Linked DNA regions of Yarrowia lipolytica. The protein of the gene in region 2 purifies or fractionates together with the protein of the main gene of each other region. This does not show direct contact. Links are inferred from orthologs where the notes say so. Each region holds a gene or a part of one and is shown on either strand. Other genes may lie near its edges. The genes, in order: YALI1_B23176g, YALI1_E34621g, YALI1_F24401g and YALI1_D15114g.

What was found.
Region 1: the proteins of YALI1_E34621g (region 2) and YALI1_B23176g purify together in Saccharomyces cerevisiae (affinity purification with mass spectrometry; 3 studies listed by BioGRID). This does not show direct contact. The link is inferred for Yarrowia lipolytica from reciprocal best matches to the Saccharomyces cerevisiae genes CBC2 and YJU2.
Region 3: the proteins of YALI1_E34621g (region 2) and YALI1_F24401g purify together in Saccharomyces cerevisiae (affinity purification with mass spectrometry; 3 studies listed by BioGRID). This does not show direct contact. The link is inferred for Yarrowia lipolytica from reciprocal best matches to the Saccharomyces cerevisiae genes CBC2 and CLF1.
Region 4: the proteins of YALI1_E34621g (region 2) and YALI1_D15114g purify together in Saccharomyces cerevisiae (affinity purification with mass spectrometry, with the first as the bait; 5 studies listed by BioGRID). This does not show direct contact. The link is inferred for Yarrowia lipolytica from reciprocal best matches to the Saccharomyces cerevisiae genes CBC2 and KAP95.

Annotation. Positions count from the first base shown.
Region 1 is NC_090771.1:2,315,873-2,319,367, reverse strand, and holds YALI1_B23176g (uncharacterized protein), read right to left. Parts: upstream 1,763-3,495; coding exon 938-1,762; downstream 1-937. Other genes in the region: YALI1_B23201g (uncharacterized protein), read left to right, coding at 1-606. UniProt on the Saccharomyces cerevisiae protein: Part of the spliceosome which catalyzes two sequential transesterification reactions, first the excision of the non-coding intron from pre-mRNA and then the ligation of the coding exons to form the mature mRNA.
Region 2 is NC_090774.1:3,461,171-3,464,667, reverse strand, and holds YALI1_E34621g (uncharacterized protein), read left to right. Parts: upstream 1-1,994; coding exon 1,995-2,200; intron 2,201-2,498; coding exon 2,499-2,805; downstream 2,806-3,497.
Region 3 is NC_090775.1:2,437,246-2,441,898, reverse strand, and holds YALI1_F24401g (uncharacterized protein), read left to right. Parts: upstream 1-1,789; coding exon 1,790-3,820; downstream 3,821-4,653. Other genes in the region: YALI1_F24413g (uncharacterized protein), read right to left, coding at 1-537; YALI1_F24408g (uncharacterized protein), read left to right, coding at 1,025-1,318; YALI1_F24359g (uncharacterized protein), read right to left, coding at 4,155-4,653. UniProt on the Saccharomyces cerevisiae protein: Involved in pre-mRNA splicing and cell cycle progression. Required for the spliceosome assembly by promoting the functional integration of the U4/U6.U5 tri-snRNP particle into the U1-, U2-dependent pre-spliceosome.
Region 4 is NC_090773.1:1,507,985-1,513,304, forward strand, and holds YALI1_D15114g (uncharacterized protein), read right to left. Parts: upstream 3,510-5,320; coding exon 912-3,509; downstream 1-911. Other genes in the region: YALI1_D15149g (uncharacterized protein), read right to left, coding at 5,112-5,320. UniProt on the Saccharomyces cerevisiae protein: Importin beta subunit that functions in nuclear protein import through association with the importin alpha subunit, which binds to the classical nuclear localization signal (cNLS) in cargo substrates.

The DNA.
Region 1 (3,495 bases), on a different chromosome or scaffold from region 2:
CTGTTTCTGGTCGAGTCTTGCATCTTTGTGTATGTCCAGCAACAAGGACATACCGGAGCTCTTCTGGCTCTGAACAATGGAGTGATGGAACGGGTGCTATTCAATGACAAGTACATGCTCACGTCAACACCTGAGATGTTGTGTGTGTTTGATGGCAAAATTGCCATGGCTGGAAAACATGTCATGCCTGAATTCATGCGGTACTTGTTCAACAGGACACCCGTGCACGCTACAAATATCAGCCAGGATCCCGTCTACAGTAACTATGTTGGCCTATACAATGCGGCTGGAAGTATGACCCATTTAATTGACTTTGCCACTCAGAGTATTGTTGATATCACTGCGTTCTACTACACGTCTCTTCAGGCTGGCTTCCTGGCACTTCCTGGATTAGTAGATGGGCAGCTGGTTGTATACAGATACTCACAGCAGTTTCTGCTGACGCATTTTGGTGAGCAAGTTGACGTTCAGGTCATGATGACTAAGATTAATTGTCTGGTTGATGCCCCCGAGTCGATGCTGTTGCCCCATGTACCTCAGACGAGGGTTCCAGCTAGGTCCAGAGCCGTTAATAGGCACAAGACGCGCCGAAGAGTGGTGGTATAAAGAGGAGGAGGCTTATTTATATATATTTATTGTCCCGAGTAATGAGATATGATTTATGAGTTCGGTGGTGGTTGAAAGGGCTTTCAAGATGAAACTGTAGATGAGGGGGGTGATAACTGGTGCTGTTCTTACTAGGCTGATCTAGTTAACTACCTGTACACCTCCTGTACACACAACTGTGGAGAGTTCTTACCGCTGACTATGTTGCCATGCTACAGAATGCACCGTGTGTACTGCAGTACTTGCAACTTCTACAGATGTATAATACTCGTAGCCTCAAATACTTCATAATGTATTATACAATGCGTTGATGCAATATATCCTCCGTCTTCTACTTTCTGACAATTCCCTTCATGCGTTTCTTCATCTTGACAACAGGCTTGGATACCTTCTTCACCGAGGCATCCACCTTTGCCACCTCCACTCTCTTGATCTTCTCACCTTGCGCGTTCCTAAACACCTCCTTAGCCATCTCATCATCACGCAAATCCTGTTCAGATACGCCACTTTCCTTGTCATCTCTCTTTCTCAGCTCTTCCAGCACATCCACATCTCGTCCAATCTTGTTAAGACGAGCAGTACGTTCCTTGAGCTCTTCGAGCCGTTCAATTCCCTCCTGCTCATCAATGTTGGCCTTCTGCCTTGCCTCTATCTCTGCCATGACGTCTCCATCTGTAGAAACTGCGGTTCCTAGCTTTGACGGATCAGGCATAGCCTTTCCCTGTTTCTTGAGCTCCTCCAGCTCCTTCTCTTCCTTTTCCAGCCGGTCCAGCCGCTCGTCCAGAGTCTCCTCCACCTTCTTTTCGTCTCTCCAGGGTTCGTAGTTTCGTACAGCTCCATACTCGGTCTGATAGTCTGAGTTCTTGGGGTCAGTCTTGAATCTGATCTCACCTGAACATCTAGGACATCGGATAAAGAAGCGAATGATCTTCACGTCAAGATACACCTCGTCAGTCACCTGTTTGCGAGCGTTGAACTTTTTGCTCTTATAAATATATTCTCCACAGGCGGTACATCGCATGGAGAAAGGCACCATGAGCCGTACAGTGGGCATGGTGGCCGATTTGGAGTCAGACACTTTCTTAGCACGCCGCTCCAGCTTGCTGGGATCAAAGTCGGGCGGATAGTATTTGTTTATTCCTTTTCGATCCGACATTTTGTGCTGATGATGATGTGATGAAGGGTAAAAGAGCCTGCTGATTTTCTGTACGAGTATGTACAGAAACTTTATCAGAAACCTGTCAAGGAGAGAGTACGATCCGATGTGCGTCTCAAGGGGGTGTGTCGGAGAGACCGCGGAGGTGTGTAACTTGAGCTGAGGGTATCAACAATGAAAAAAAACTTAGCTGGAAACTCTTTTGAGCTGATCCGTGTAGTATTGAGTGACTACAAGTAGAAAGGTGATGTTGAATCTCACCCTCATATACTTAACTGGTTGTCCCACTTACTACTTGACCTCACTAAGTTATTCATATTTTTACTTCATTTACAGTAGTCTTCGTAGCTCTCCCAAATGATAGCTAAGTACAGCAGCACAACCCGGCCACTAAAACGAGAGTCCGAGAACATCCCAATTTGGCGTCACGTGATCTTTCCCTACACCATGTATAGAGCGGATCGCGGAACTCAAAAAGCGGTTCCTTGGCGTGACAAACATGGCACCGCCGCTATTGTGCGAGTAATGGAGTGTACTGTATGTACCAGTATCGTACACTTCTATAGGCGGTTGTCTTGGCTAACACGTGTGACGCTAGAACTAATTGGAATGGGGATTGCGACGTGTTTACGATGTGGTTTTGGCGTGTATTATGGGCTTACAAGACAAGGCACTTTTTCGCGAGGCTCATTTATGCCGGGTTGAGTGTTTTGAAATTGATCGTATTTTCCTCGATTTTCTCTTGAATTTCCGCCACCTCCACCTCTCTGAGATACAGTAGGGTGGTACAGATGCTCACATACGCTTAATTGAGTTGTCGCTAATATAGCTTAAAGAGGGATAGTTTTCTGAGAATATTTCCAATAAATCGAATAAAAACGCTAGCGGAAAATCAAGACAATGGAAGGGTTGGATTCTTTTCTCTCTACAATTTCAAAATCAATAATTTTCCTGCCAAGATACAGGAGCCGCAATTTCAGCACTCGTACAAACGTCCGCATAGATTTACCTATTTGGTAACCTTTTTTTTTTTCTCTTGGGGGAGGGGGACGACAGAAAAACGTACACCGCCCCATGTGGTCAGCCCCTATTATACACCCGGTTACAGGTTTTACAGTGGCAGCTTTTTTTTTTAACGTGCTGGCCGTTACTACCGGGTGATGATGCGTACTAGTAATGTTCTTTTGCTGCCGTACAGGCTGGGCGACTGCTTGCGTCGCGGGTCTCGCTTATTAATCGACACGTGCAAGAGCTGATGCCCTGTCTCTCGCACATGGCTTAATCAGTCCTCTCTCCCCCACCAATATAGGCCCTTCAAATGCCTCAGTGTGCACTTGCTTTGGAAACGCAAAGGTGCTAAATTCAAAAAGAAGGTTGTTCTTGGAGGATTTGCGCAGCGTCAGAAGAGATGGCCTCTTGTTTGAGAGCCACCAGCAGCCGCGAAACCATCATTTATGCAGCTGGCACAGATACGAACATGATCAAAATGTAAGAGGTACGGCTGAGGGGAGTGGTGCCAAAAGTACAGGTTAGCTGGTTAGCAGCTATTGTACGTATGGGTCTTTTAGACTACTTCAGCCGTGTATGAGGGCACTAGAAGGAGAAGGAGAGAAGCATTAGTTTGGGCGGCATGAGTGGCCCCTTCACACATTAGCGACAATAGATGGATACCATATACGACGAGTGCAAGTACTACTCTTACTACCATAGTCTCGTCGACCAATCTGGGGGGT
Region 2 (3,497 bases):
AGCGCAGCACTGAAACTCTATTTTAGCTACCAACGTATTGAACTTTAGATTGGTCAAACAGAGAAAGCACAAGTTACTCATAAATGGCCCTAATTAATCATGAAGAAAGACCTGGATGTATTTTTGTTTGCGGGGAGACAGACAAGTAAACAGTCCGACTAGCTGGTCTGGTCTCGCAAACACTTGCAAGTTTAAATTTCTCACCATTTTTAGATCCGTTAGCCCCTGTCTAATACACTTCATTAAGAAAACACAAGATGTGACGTCTTTCATTAGGAATTATCATTGGTCTGTAGAAAAAACCATAACCATTCGCATATCTCTTTTTCGTTTTGACAATATAGAAAACGACGGTAACGCGCACAACTGGCAACCCTCGCCACCAGATAACGCACTGTTATTCAGCTGCGAGTAAGCTCGTCGTCTCTCCACGGGCAATGTCGCAGATTGCCGTGTCCCAGCGTCTTGGCATTTCTCCACATTCCATGAATGTCATAAGTCTCGTACCCCAGACTGCTATAGGGTCAATCTTTTTCACCAGTCTACTGTATTGTTTGACAGCAAACCCACCCCTGGGAACCGACAGACAACGCTCATGAAAATAACGGAATCCCACAGCTGTGGTGCGTGCTCTCTTTTGGCGGATAGATATTCGGTCTTACATGTAGCCCTAAACCTGGAGGTTATCCGGTTCGGCAAAGCCGAAAAGTCTAGTATCAAAAGAGTGGGGAAGAGGACATGAATATGCAGCCCAGAGGGTGGGCACTATAACTACAAGAAAAGCCACGTGACCTGGTACCTGGAGTACGAGCGACGTTGCTTGAGACTCTTACACAGCCTACCTGGCCTGACCATTCATATCTCTTTTTCAGCCTTGTGGGGTTTGTTATCTTCGCTCCCTGCGTGTCTGGATTCTAGCTAATTTTTTCAACCTTGCTAATGGGGAGCGACTAATCTGCAAACTTTGTAAACTACCTTGTTCTCGTTAAAATGTGTTACCCTACTGACCATCCATGGCAAAAGGGTCCTAAATGAATGAATTACATTTCATGTCCTGTATACATTTCGGGACATGTAATCATAGCTTCCCGTATCGTGGCATATTGAAGCTGTGGATTTTCTAAGGTCACAACAATGGGCTTCTCCGGATTCCCCTACACCTTCTCCACTGTATTTCATCTTCTCTCTCCCCCAGGCACAGGCACACGCTGAATTCCATGCGGTTGCATACTTCGATAGTGTTCGTGTAAGGTATAAAATATTAATGCAGAAAAGGATGCACAACCTAATGAACCGAAGAACACGTACATCTCAGCAGTCTGTTCGGAGACCGACGAAAATACCCTGCGGCACACGACAAGAACAAGGGTAAGCCTTCCTTTGCTATCGATGGTTGCTTTTCCACATTATCTGATGTCATCTTGATATAGACAAGAGAGATCCTATTGTTCAAGAAGCTACAGTGTAAGTATGTAACATCCCTCAAGTAGCTCGACTTTAGTGCGCAATATTGGCACCAAAAACGTCAGCTGTATACATACATACACAGTTTTGTTCGCCAAGAGCGAAATGTATTGTACACACACACTCACTCACCGCCCATCTCCTTCACTCATTAACTCACACATTCACATATATTATACTCCCAAAAGTTTGACATGCCTGTGAAAAAAAACGGGGATTAGGGTGATTTAAGGCCTATTCCTATAATTACAATGCTTCTTTTTGGCGCTACAAGTACTCTATATGTACACGGTACGTACCAGTGGAAGGATCTAGCTTGTGTAAAAAGAAATTAATTGTATGCCGCCTACCGTCGGGTGTTTTAGTAATACAAAAGTTTAAGGTTTCTAGAATTATACCTAATTTTACGACCCACTGGTGAATCGAACACACGTACTGTGGGGGTACTTGTACTGATATTTTATGCACGTCGAAATCTACACTTTTTCGGCTCAGCACCAAAGTATCTCGTTTCACACTAATTACACACCATGTCTGAACCCGCGGATCTGTTCACAGCCAAGCCCATCAACTCGGCTCAGCGACTCGACGGCCCCTCTTCTTATGTCTTGCGACAAGCGCGAAGATCTCGACAGGGTGAGGAGGATCTCGCTGCTCTGGATGTCACAACCACTCTCTATGTCGGTAACCTCTCATTCTTCACAACAGAGGAGCAGATCCACGAGTTGTTCACCAAGTGAGTAACGCTCCCAATTGTTTCCCATGTGTGGATTTAGAAGCACAGGAGAGGATCTGAAGAATCAGGGACTTCGGGGATGTTAGACTGACGTCTTCAAGACCAATTCAACCACTCTACGACTCGAGGACTTCGATCGACATGTAGATTGACTGTTGAATTGTTTTCTGAGGCAGCTATCTAGAAACTGGAATATTAATTTCGGATTGCTATGTCGCTTTTCTTGGAATCACTTCTCAACTGGAATCTCCCGAGTTCAAAGCATTATGGCATATCTCCCCGGCCTATACTAACACAGAATTGCAAAGGTGAAGAAGATCATCATGGGTCTCGACCGATACCAAAAGACTCCTTGTGGATTCTGCTTCGTGGAATACTACGAGCACGACGACGCTGTCGCCTGCCTCAAATACCTGCATAAGACCAAGCTTGACGAGCGAATCATTACCATTGATCTGGATCCTGGCTTCAAGGAGGGACGACAATTTGGCCGGGGCTCCTCCGGAGGCCAGGTGCGAGATGAGTTCCGACAGGACTATGATTCCGGTCGAGGAGGATTTGGAAAGCGATGGGGAGATGATGAGCGAGGAGGAGATGATTACTGAGACTAAACCGATAGTCAGCCCAAAAAGAAAACCCTCTGGTAATTCACCAGTAGATATTGTGGGTTTTGTTGAATAATAGGATTACATGGATCGGACAGGTTGGGATCGACGGGAAACAATCCAGATGCGTGTATTGCACGTGGGTGTTTGGGACGCGCTTTGACACCGATAGGTTGATTGTTTGTTTGTTTATGATGACAGCTTATTGGTGACAGGTTTCTGATGACAGGTTCTTAATGGTAGGATTACATTTCGTTAATTGGAAGCTGACAGATGATAGGTGTCAACTGAGAAGGAACTACACTAAGGTGTCAACACGTCAATGTCAACCAAACTCGCAATTGATATGTCAAATCTGTCAGTTTGTACCTTGCCAGATATGTACACAGTTTAAAATATTATTTATATCCAACTGTCTTTGTGATTGGGGGCATGTATTAGCGGAGCCGAGCGTGGACTAATGTTCGTGGATTTCATCTCCACGGCGATAAAATACGGTGCGAGAACAACAGGAATGCAGCCGCATACCTACACGGGGCCAAGTTATCCCAAAGAGTGCCTTCTCTGAAGGGGCATCTGAGGAAAGGGTCTGTGGGAAGCCATGTGAGCCCCACTTGCAACAATACGTGAGAACCTTTGGTTGTATTGGGCATCTCAGCCAGTCTCCGATCTGAGCCCCAGTGGAGAGAGTT
Region 3 (4,653 bases), on a different chromosome or scaffold from region 2:
CTTGTTGCTTGCACAGAACAAAATGTAGGCGATTCCGTTCTTTGACAGTATGGTCTTCAGTTCTAGTAGCACCTTCCAAGTCACCTGCATTCCGTCTTCACCTCCAAGAAGTGCCCAATCGACCCAGTCACCATCTGTCTCCGGGTAGGGTTCTACGGGCTTGTCGTCTGGCACATATGGAGGGTTGAAGACCAGTAGATCGATGGTATGAGGTCTCATCATTGTGGTACGTTCTCCACGAAGCGCCTCGAGGTACTGGGTGCCGTTGTTTTCTTTTGACGTGGCCAGAACCTGGTTGCATGCAAAGGGGCTGATATCTGTAGCCAAAAAAACGCCTTTGGGCACCACGGATTTCAGCATGAAGGTGGTGACGATGCCTGATCCGGTTCCGATCTCTGTCACCACAGGGTATGACAGATGGCTGTTGATGTAGCTCTGTTCCATTTCCAGCACGTCCAGGAGCATGAAGGAGTCTTCGCTGGGCTCGTAGACCTCTTCATAGTTGGCTGATGACGTGGAAGGTGTTGGAAACGACATTTCTGGGTGGTGTCTAGACTACGATATTCTTTGGTGGTTGTGCATGCCAAAATATATATTCGCATGCAACTTAAACTCGTTCCAGCTGCAACTCAACCTCAACCACTATACAAGCCACGCAACATGAAGATCAAGATCAAGGTGAGTATGATTTGGGGAGACCGCGGGGTACATGATTGGGGACTCGAAAGAACTCATTGTGCGCATCCTCCCCGCAGATTCGTGCTTGCGGTGCGCTAACTTGGAAATGCTAACACAGACACTCATTGGAAAGGAGGTGAGTCCTGAACCACGATATACACCCAGCAGTAACATTCCTAGATGAAATGACATTTGGAACACTGTTGCGGCCAGTGTGTGACGACGAAGCTAACACAGATTGAGATGGACGTTGAGCCCGAAGATCAGGTGAGTATGAAGAGATGGAGGGACTGGGGGGACTGTTGCGAAGTGGTCACGCGTGCGTGCCACGATGAAGTTGGCATGAATGAGACACGATAAGGGGAAAAAGTCATGGGAAAGTGCTGTTCTCTATCACGATCCTACAAATGCAAGGTTCACTTACGGACCTGTTCGCACCTATCCCGTCACCACTCAAACAGGACTAACTCAGATCTCCGTTCTCAAGGAGAAGATCGAGGAACTCGAGGGTATTCCTCCCGCCCAGCAGCGTCTCGTTTTCACCGGAAAGCAGCTCCAGGACGAGAAGACCATTGCGGAGAACAAGATTGAAGCTGGAGCCTCTCTGCATCTGGTCCTGGCCCTTCGAGGCGGCAACTAATGTATTGATAATTGACTGATTAGAGGATGTGGGATGGGGCAGCGTGAACTACGTGCTACTGGATGAACATATGTGGAATTAGGTATAGATGTGAATAGGTAGTAGCTACTTGTAATACTTGTAGTCTTTTTGGTTGCCATACAACTAGCTACTGTAGCTACAGTATGTTCTGTAAGTACGTAGTTACATACAATACTTGTTCCTGTATTGTGGCGCCAGTATCGATATAAAGATAGAATAGACCGACAAAACAGACGGGAAAACAAATGTATCTCTTAGCATTAGGTGTTGGAGGTAGTACTTGTCTATATGTCTATATATACTGATTTCCACAAGTCAAGATGCGTTCACACTGTTCCGCTCATCTCATGTTGACTCGACGAAGCTTAGTTATCACTGCAAATAAAACCTTCGCAGAATCATCACCAAAAAATATTGACGCCATATACGACCTCGAAACACCACACCGGTATGGAAGGAAGGGTGAAAAACAAAGCGCCCGCCGCGTTGCAGATTTCTGCAGAGCAGATTTTGCTGGAGGCATATGAGCGAAAGGAGACGCCTCTTCAGCAGACAGAGCAGATTGCCGATCTGGAAGAGCTGGCAGAGTACCAAGGCCGCAAACGACAGGAGTATGAGGGAGCCTTGCGACGAAATCGACTGAACACCGGCCAGTGGATGCGGTACGCGCAGTGGGAGCTGGAGCAACGGGAGTTTGCACGTGCCAGATCTGTATTTGAACGAGCTCTCGAGGTCAACCCAACGCATGTGCCCACCTGGATCCGATACATTCAGTGCGAGCTCAAGGAGAAGAACATCAACCACGCACGAAACCTGCTGGACAGAGCCGTCACACTCCTGCCGCGTGTCGACAAGCTGTGGTTCACATACGTGGCTACAGAGGAGACGCTGGGCAACATTGCCGGCTGCAGAGCCGTGTTTGAGAGATGGATGCATTGGAGGCCGCCGGTGACCGCCTGGGCAGCTTACGTGAACATGGAGAAGCGATATCGTGAGTTTGACCGTGCGCGGGGCATTCTGAGACGATATGTCACTGTTCATCCAGGTGCACCAGCATGGAACAAATGGGCCAAGTTTGAGATGGAGGCAGGAAACAGAGACACCGTCAGGGAGGTGTATGCTCTGGGAATCGACACATTGGTGGAAATGGCGCATGGAGGCGTGGACTTTCTGGATGAGAGTCTGCTGGCTGGATGGGCGAGTTTTGAGACTCGTCATAGGGAGTACGAAAGAGCAAGAGCTCTGTACACTTATGGACTCGAGAAGCTGCCCAAAAGCAAGTCTGCAAAGCTGTATGCTGACTACACGGCCTTTGAGAAACAGTATGGAGCCAAGGAGGGTATTGAGAATGTGGTTCTCACTAAAAGACGATCCAAGTACGAGGATCAGTTGAAGGAGGACCCTGCAGACTACGATACGTGGTTCTCTTACATCACTCTAGGTCAGGAAAGTGGTCTTGAGGCCGATCAGATTCGTGAGATCTTTGAACGTGCTGTTTCTAACGTTCCCCCACATTCCAAGCGTCTTTGGAGACGGTACATCTTTCTGTGGATCAAGTATGCCATCTGGGAGGAGCTTGAGAACAAGGAGGTTGAAAAGGCCGGTGAAATCTACAAAACATGCATATCTATCATCCCACACAAAAAGTTCACATTCGCCAAAGTGTGGTTACTATGGGCCAAGTTTGAGATTCGACATGGCAATCTGCCAGAGGCTCGTAAGATCCTAGGCCGAGGACTGGGCATGTCGGGGGGCAAACCTGCGCTGTACAAGGGATACATTGCTCTGGAGGCCAAACTGCGTGAGTTTGACCGGTGTCGAAAGCTCTACGACAAGTATGTGGAGAAATTTGCCGAGTTTGCTGCTCCGTGGATGGAGTATGCGGAGCTGGAGCAGATGCTTGGTGACGAGGAGCGAGCTCGTGCTATTTTTGAGCTAGCTGTGTCGCAGCCCGAGATGGAGATGCCTGAACTTGTGTGGAAACGGTTTATTGAGTTCGAGGCTGAAGAGGAGAACTACGACCGAGCACGAGCCATCTACCGACAGCTTCTTGATCGAACCCACGGTCACATCAAGGTGTGGATCTCGTTTGCCCAGTTTGAGGTCACTGTTCCTGCTGAAGACCAGGAGCTGCAATACAACGACGAGGGAGAGGCCGAGATTGAGGTCACTGAAGAAGCAAAGGCACGCGCACGAAGTATCTTTGGCGAGGCCTGGGACGCTCTCAAGGCCGCCAACAAGCGAGAGGAGCGAGTGGTTCTGTTTGAATCATGGCGTGAGTTTGAAGAGGAGCATGGAGATGACAAGTCTAAGGCGGATTTGGACAAGCGAAAGCCCACTCCTGTCAAGAAGAAGCGAAAGCTGGAGGATGGCACCTTCGAGGAGTACATCGACTACGTCTTCCCCACCGACGAGGAGGACAAGTCGTTCTCCAAGCTCCTGGAGAATGCTCGAAAATGGAAGCTTCAGAATCAGTCTTGACTGTGGGAGCCAACTATGTATTTATCTGTATATGTATAATAGAATCGTTGTATAACACTAGCTGCGATCCCTTATTCATGTTACTCCACCCTGCGCCACTATCACCAAGCTATCACCAAGCTACAAGTACAGCATTGTGTGTACAGGATGTACCAAAGACACTCGCTCTTCAGAATTACTGCTAAATAAGGTTTGAAAAGATTGCAGTAAAATATATATATATATTATAATATAAAAAACTTATCAAAATTTTTTGTACAAAATACAAGCCTACGGACAAAATGATATACGAGTCTAAGATCCAAATCCATTAGTATACATGTTAGTAGTTTTTTTATTTTGGGGGCCCGATAACTCCGGGAGGAGGAGGCGGGGGATGACGAATGGGCTGGTCTCCATCCATTCCAGGCACCCCAGGAGGAGGAGGGGGAGGAGGAACTTTAGAAAGACCAGGAGGTCCGGGAGGCACAGACATGCCGGGCACACCAGCAGGAGCGCCACCGTAACCACCAAAGCCAGAAGACGACATACCAGGGGGCCCGATGGGAGACTGGTTGTTATTAAACATAGACTGGTGGTGCACGGGGGGCTGGTGCTGATGCTGGTGCTGACGGGTGTCGCGATTCCACGGCGACTGCTGCATCGACTGCTGAACAGATACCTTGTCGTGCTTTTTGTAGTTGTCACGTCGCAGCCACGGGGGAGCAGCAGGCTGCGAGGGAGGTGTGGGTCTGTGCCAAGGAGGGAGTTCGGGCGACGAGTTGGACGAGTTGTTAAAGTTGCGGTCGTATCGGTCATAGTTGTTTCCGTTAGTGTTGTGCATGTTTTGCTGG
Region 4 (5,320 bases), on a different chromosome or scaffold from region 2:
CCAACATCCGCCCATCACTGCGGCTCCTCCACCTCCTCCAGTATTATACATAATCTCACATCCTTTCAAGGGCTAAAAGACCCACACATGGATCGATCCACCACATGGTGCCCAGGAACGAGCACAACTAGTATCAGAGCAAATCAAAACACTTATAAGCACGACTCTCGCCTCCGCACAGCACAGAGCGGTGTCGAGAACTGGCACATTGGCGCAGGAGTCCGCTCCACGAACATGCCTCGTCTATGCCGTGTTGAAGCCTCCGTCTCATAAGCTTGCCCTGTATATAAACCCATTCTGACATTACTCCCTTCTCTATTGGTTGGAGAGTTTGGCGGCGCATGGGTGTCCTCAAACTAGATTTGCCAAACCCACATGGCTCTCTTTTGGCCTTTAGGCCTTTGGGCCTTGGTGTGGGGTAAACGTAGTGACTAAAGCTAACTGAATTAGTTGAGTCTAACCCGCTTTTAGTACCGCTGTCGACTACAGTAGATGAAACACTGATGACAGCACAACCCGGCCTGGCAAGTCGATTCTTGGACAAGTTGCAACTACAAACATATATCACACACTTATCCAGCCGTATTCGTTCTGTCGATGGAACCTAAAATATATATACAACCCCACAAAGTTGCCCCATTCTACATACACACAGCTACAATACATATGGTTGTACCTTTTTTTTTTTTTTCACATGGTTATCGAGCAAGATCTTCACGTGCTACAGATGCAGACAGGCAAACAATCAGGGGGGTGGGTAGATCTAAATCATGGCCACCTGCTACACTGTATATTGGCGATATACTCACCAACCTATAACTACAAAGTAGTCATACTCAAACGCTTGTTTTCTATTTTTCCGGTATCATGCTATTTTTTGTGCAAAAACTTGTTCCCTCATCTCAGACAGCCTATTTCTCGCCCAGCTGTCGCTTCTGCTGCTCACGTGCCCATCGAGCGGTAATCTTGGTCTCGTCAGTGAACTCGGGATCGCTTCGAGTTCGTCGAATGAACTCCAGCACCCATGGCTTAGTGTATGCCTCCTTGAAGTCTCCACCGGGATACATGGTGGCAACATCACCAATGATACCCACAACGGACCGAGCCACAGACTCCACAGGAGCGAGCAGAGGGTCCACGGCCACCTTGGACAGGAAGTTGAACAGAGTGGGGACGTAGGGAGCAAACAGAGCAGGGTAGTCTCGAAGACCGGTGACAATGCCGACAAATGCGTCGATGATTCGCTCACGCAGGTTGGCGACAAAGTCAAGGAACTCCTCGGACACGGCATAGCCGGAGTACTGGTCAGGCACATCCAGCTGGCACGCCTGCTCAATCACAGGGAAGACAAAAGAAAAGTACCGCTCAAACTTGGGGCCAATGCTTGACGCGATGTCTCCAAAGCACGACAGAATCGAGGGCTTGATGACCTGTTGGGCCTTGGGGTTTTGCAAATCGGTGACAAACAGCTGCATGTACTGGTCGGAGAACTGGTCAATGGCAGGGCCCAGAGCGTTGGACACGTCGGCCACCAGACCGACTGCAGTGTTGCACACAATGAGAGAAGGATCTTCCAGAGCGCGCAGAAGGAAGGGGTTGAGAGACTCCATGAACTTCATAAAGCCCTCACCGTTGGCATCGGCGACAGCTCCAATAGCAATGAACACGTCCTCCTCGATGAGCGAGTTGGGAAGCTTGTTCTGCAGCAGGTTCAGGAACAGAGTCATAAGCCGGTCGGATGCGGGCAGCACCAGCTTGTCAGTTCGACGGATGATGTTGGTCAGCAGACCGAGCAGGTTGATCTGCAGCTCCTCCAGGTTGATTCGGTCGTCCATGCCGACAATCTGCTGCTGCATCTCCAGAGTGGTCTCCAGACGAGTGACAACCTCGCCCGACAGCTCAAGCACGGCTTCAATGCAATCGTTGGCACACACAACAACAAGGGTCGACAGAGCCTCGTAAGCAGCGGTTCGGGCGTTGTTCTCGTTGTCGTTTCGAGAAGCGGCGTTCAACAGAGCAGGCAGCACCTGGGGGTAGTAGGGGGAGACGACGGTGGTCTCCTGGTTGACGCCGCCGTGGCCAAGCTGCTCGAAAATGTTCATGATAGTCCAGCAACAGTTGGTGATGACCTTGGGCTCGTCCTGCAGTCCCTTGAGCAGGGTATTCATGATGACGGGCAGATGGACTTGCTCGTCAATGGCGTTGATGACCAGATCGGAGATTCGGCCCAGACACCACGCCACGGTGTCCTTGACCTGCAGAGAGTCGTCATTCATCAGGTTGAGAATGGGCTCTAGAGCCTGCTTGATGAGATCGGCCAGATGGGCGTTGTCAGGACCGTCCAGAATAGAACCAAAGGCCATGACAGCGGCCTCCCGGTTTCTCCAGCTGGTGGTATTTCCAATGTTCTGCTCGACAAACTGCAGAGTCAGAGGCACCACGTCGTTACCAATGGTCTGCGCGAACAGCTGCAGACAGGCGGCAGCAGCCATGCTAACACTCCAGTCCTCGTCGTCATCGTACTCGTTCTGCCGGTTGAGCAGCTCCAAGAGAATGGGCAGAACCTTGGGGGCAGCCACCTTGGCGAAGCCAAAGCACTCCTCGCCGGTCCGCTGGTTCTTGTCCTCAATCTCGCATACGGACGACCAGAACTCCACAGCCATGCATGCCACCGAGTCGTCGGAATCCTGCATGCCCTTGACGGTAACGCCAAACAGAGCCTGCTTCATGTACAGTTCCATGAACTGGTAGTATTTGGTCATGATTCGAGACATTGTGCCGTAGCTGACTTCCCGCAGCTTGGCAGAATCGCTCTGGGTGGCTTCGCACACGACAACCATGATGCAGTTTCGCTCACCGTCCCGGGCAAAGTTGTCTCTGATGAAATCCAGAGAGTCGCCCAGTGCCTCAATGGCCTTGAGCCGCACGTTCTGGTCCGACTCCTTGGACTGTGCCGCCTGCACAATGGCAGTAAGAATGCCTGATGCCTGGGAAACCACACCAGCATTGTTTCGGTCTGCTCGCTCGCAGATGAAACCAATAGACTGCAGAGCGGCCATCTTGATGTGACTGGGCTGCTCGTCCTTGGTGTTCTCCACCAGGGTGGTCATGAGACTGGACCATCGTCCCTGGGGCAGATCAATCTCCGCAATGGCGGCCACGGCCTGGGCTGCTGCTGAAGCCACCTGGTTGTTAGTGCTCTTCAGAACCTCCAACAGAATGCTCTTGATCTGATCTGTAACGGATCCATCGGCAGCCAACCACTTGTTGGCCTGCTCCTGCTTGACCTCCTGGTCCTTGGATGTCAAGTTGTTCTTGATGGCAATACCAGCAAGCACTCGGATTTCATCGGGTATCTGGGTATCCTGAGTGCTGATGCAGTTGGCGAGGGCCATCATCACATCACCGTAGTAGTTTTGGTATGCGTCGGCCAGCTTGGAGTTGGCCTCGTTTCGCACCTGAGGCGTGGCGCCCTGGAAGGCGTCGTGAAGAATGGGTGCGATTTCCATCTGGGTTAGTAGGGGTCTAGATAGGTTGTGTGTGTGTCGTTTCAATGGCAACGTTGCGGGTGCAAATTTAGTGCGCTCGTGTTTTCGATTCTGCCGCTGATGTCTGTCTCGTGCACCCCACGTCTGGTTTGCGGTATTCTAGACCAAACCACACACGTCATCAATCGATTAATGAGACAAGATCGTCATAAATCAAACTGATGGCTGCCACGAAAACAACTATCCAGCGCGATCCCGTTAACCCAGCAGTTGTCTCCTTGGCCAGCCAGGGAGAAATCAATTCCAAGATACCCCACACAAGTTGCGTCCCGCTACAACCTCCAGAGCCGGCAATTTGAGCGGGAAAACGACATTGTTCAAGTCAGAAATTCCCACATATGCCACCCGCAACATGCCCTTATTCGCCCCGTCCCTCAGAGACGTGACGGGTCGCAAACGGCCACCTTGGCCATCTGAACACCTCACCACATGGCGTCCGTCGTACTCACGTCGTAGTCTGTGATTTGTCGATATCCGAAAGTCGAAAGTCGGTCTCTAGTGTCCACACAAAAAGAATTCCTCGGCCAATTGAAGGTCGTTCGCAAACGGCTGAATCGAATATAATCTGTTTAAAACAGGGAGTGGTAAAATGATGGGACGTAAACAGACCCAAAAGCCAATTTTCAAATAGAGTGCTGTAAATTTGAGCACACCCACACCCCCGGTTGTCCCAGCAACGCCCCCAGCTCCTCCTCCCAGCAATCTTACTGAGGTCGGGATGGCGTAACAAAAAGCTATGTAAACGGGACTCATTTACTCAGTCGCGTCCCACGCCGCAATGTCGCCAGCTCCAGGTGGCAAATTAGCATCCCCCAACCCCGGACTGAGAAATACTGATGCCGACTTGCCCATACGCCAGAGCACATACAAGTCTGTGCATGCGGTACACGTACACCAGCCATAAGTAAAGGACCACCATCCAGATATCGTTCCGGTAACTACTGCAAGTAAATGATCCCTATCTTTCTACAGTAACTCCACCGACCTTAAAGAATAGTCGTTACAACTGCCCTACAGTCTTTGATGACGACGATGACCACAACTAGGAGCAGTGTGGGCTCTCGCTATCCCCGCCCCCACTGTTGCCGAGCAACATGCTGTAATAAGGGGAAATTAATACACAGATACAGTGTGGGCTCCTACCACTTGCAAACACTGCGGGTCGAAATCCCAAGTTCTCGCACGTATACTGTATCGTGATCAGTTGCTGGGTAACGCGTCAAAACAAACCTGCAGCAAGTTGTAATTATGTATAATGCCGGCATCTTATGAACCTTGGATGGCGGTTTATTTGACAAGGTCATTATTCCGGTGAGGTTATCTCAGCCGCTAAAGGGTTCATGGTCAATTGATTTTTGACCGACTAGCGAGCGTCATACGAGTACTGAAGTTGCAACAGCCCGTCTAACCGACAGTCTGTAGGATGCTTGCACCATATATGTTTACATGCTGCCTATGAAACACAATACAGACCAGACACACACTTCGGGCTACATGCATAGTAACCATCAAGGCGGCTTAGTCAGATGGTTAGCGCTTGTAATAAATAGTTATGTACAGTCGTCAGACTCCTTCCCTCGCTTGTCCGGTCCACATCTCCAGCCAGTACATCTGCCTGCGGACACTCTCGTCAGCAGACATGTTCACGGTGGGAATGATGGTGGTGGCAGCCATGTTCAAGCAGAAGGCTCGTAGCTCGACAAAAGACGAATGCTCAGAGTACGGGACGTTGTACTTTTGAACAGGCTCGATGGCAGACCGTTCCAGATTCC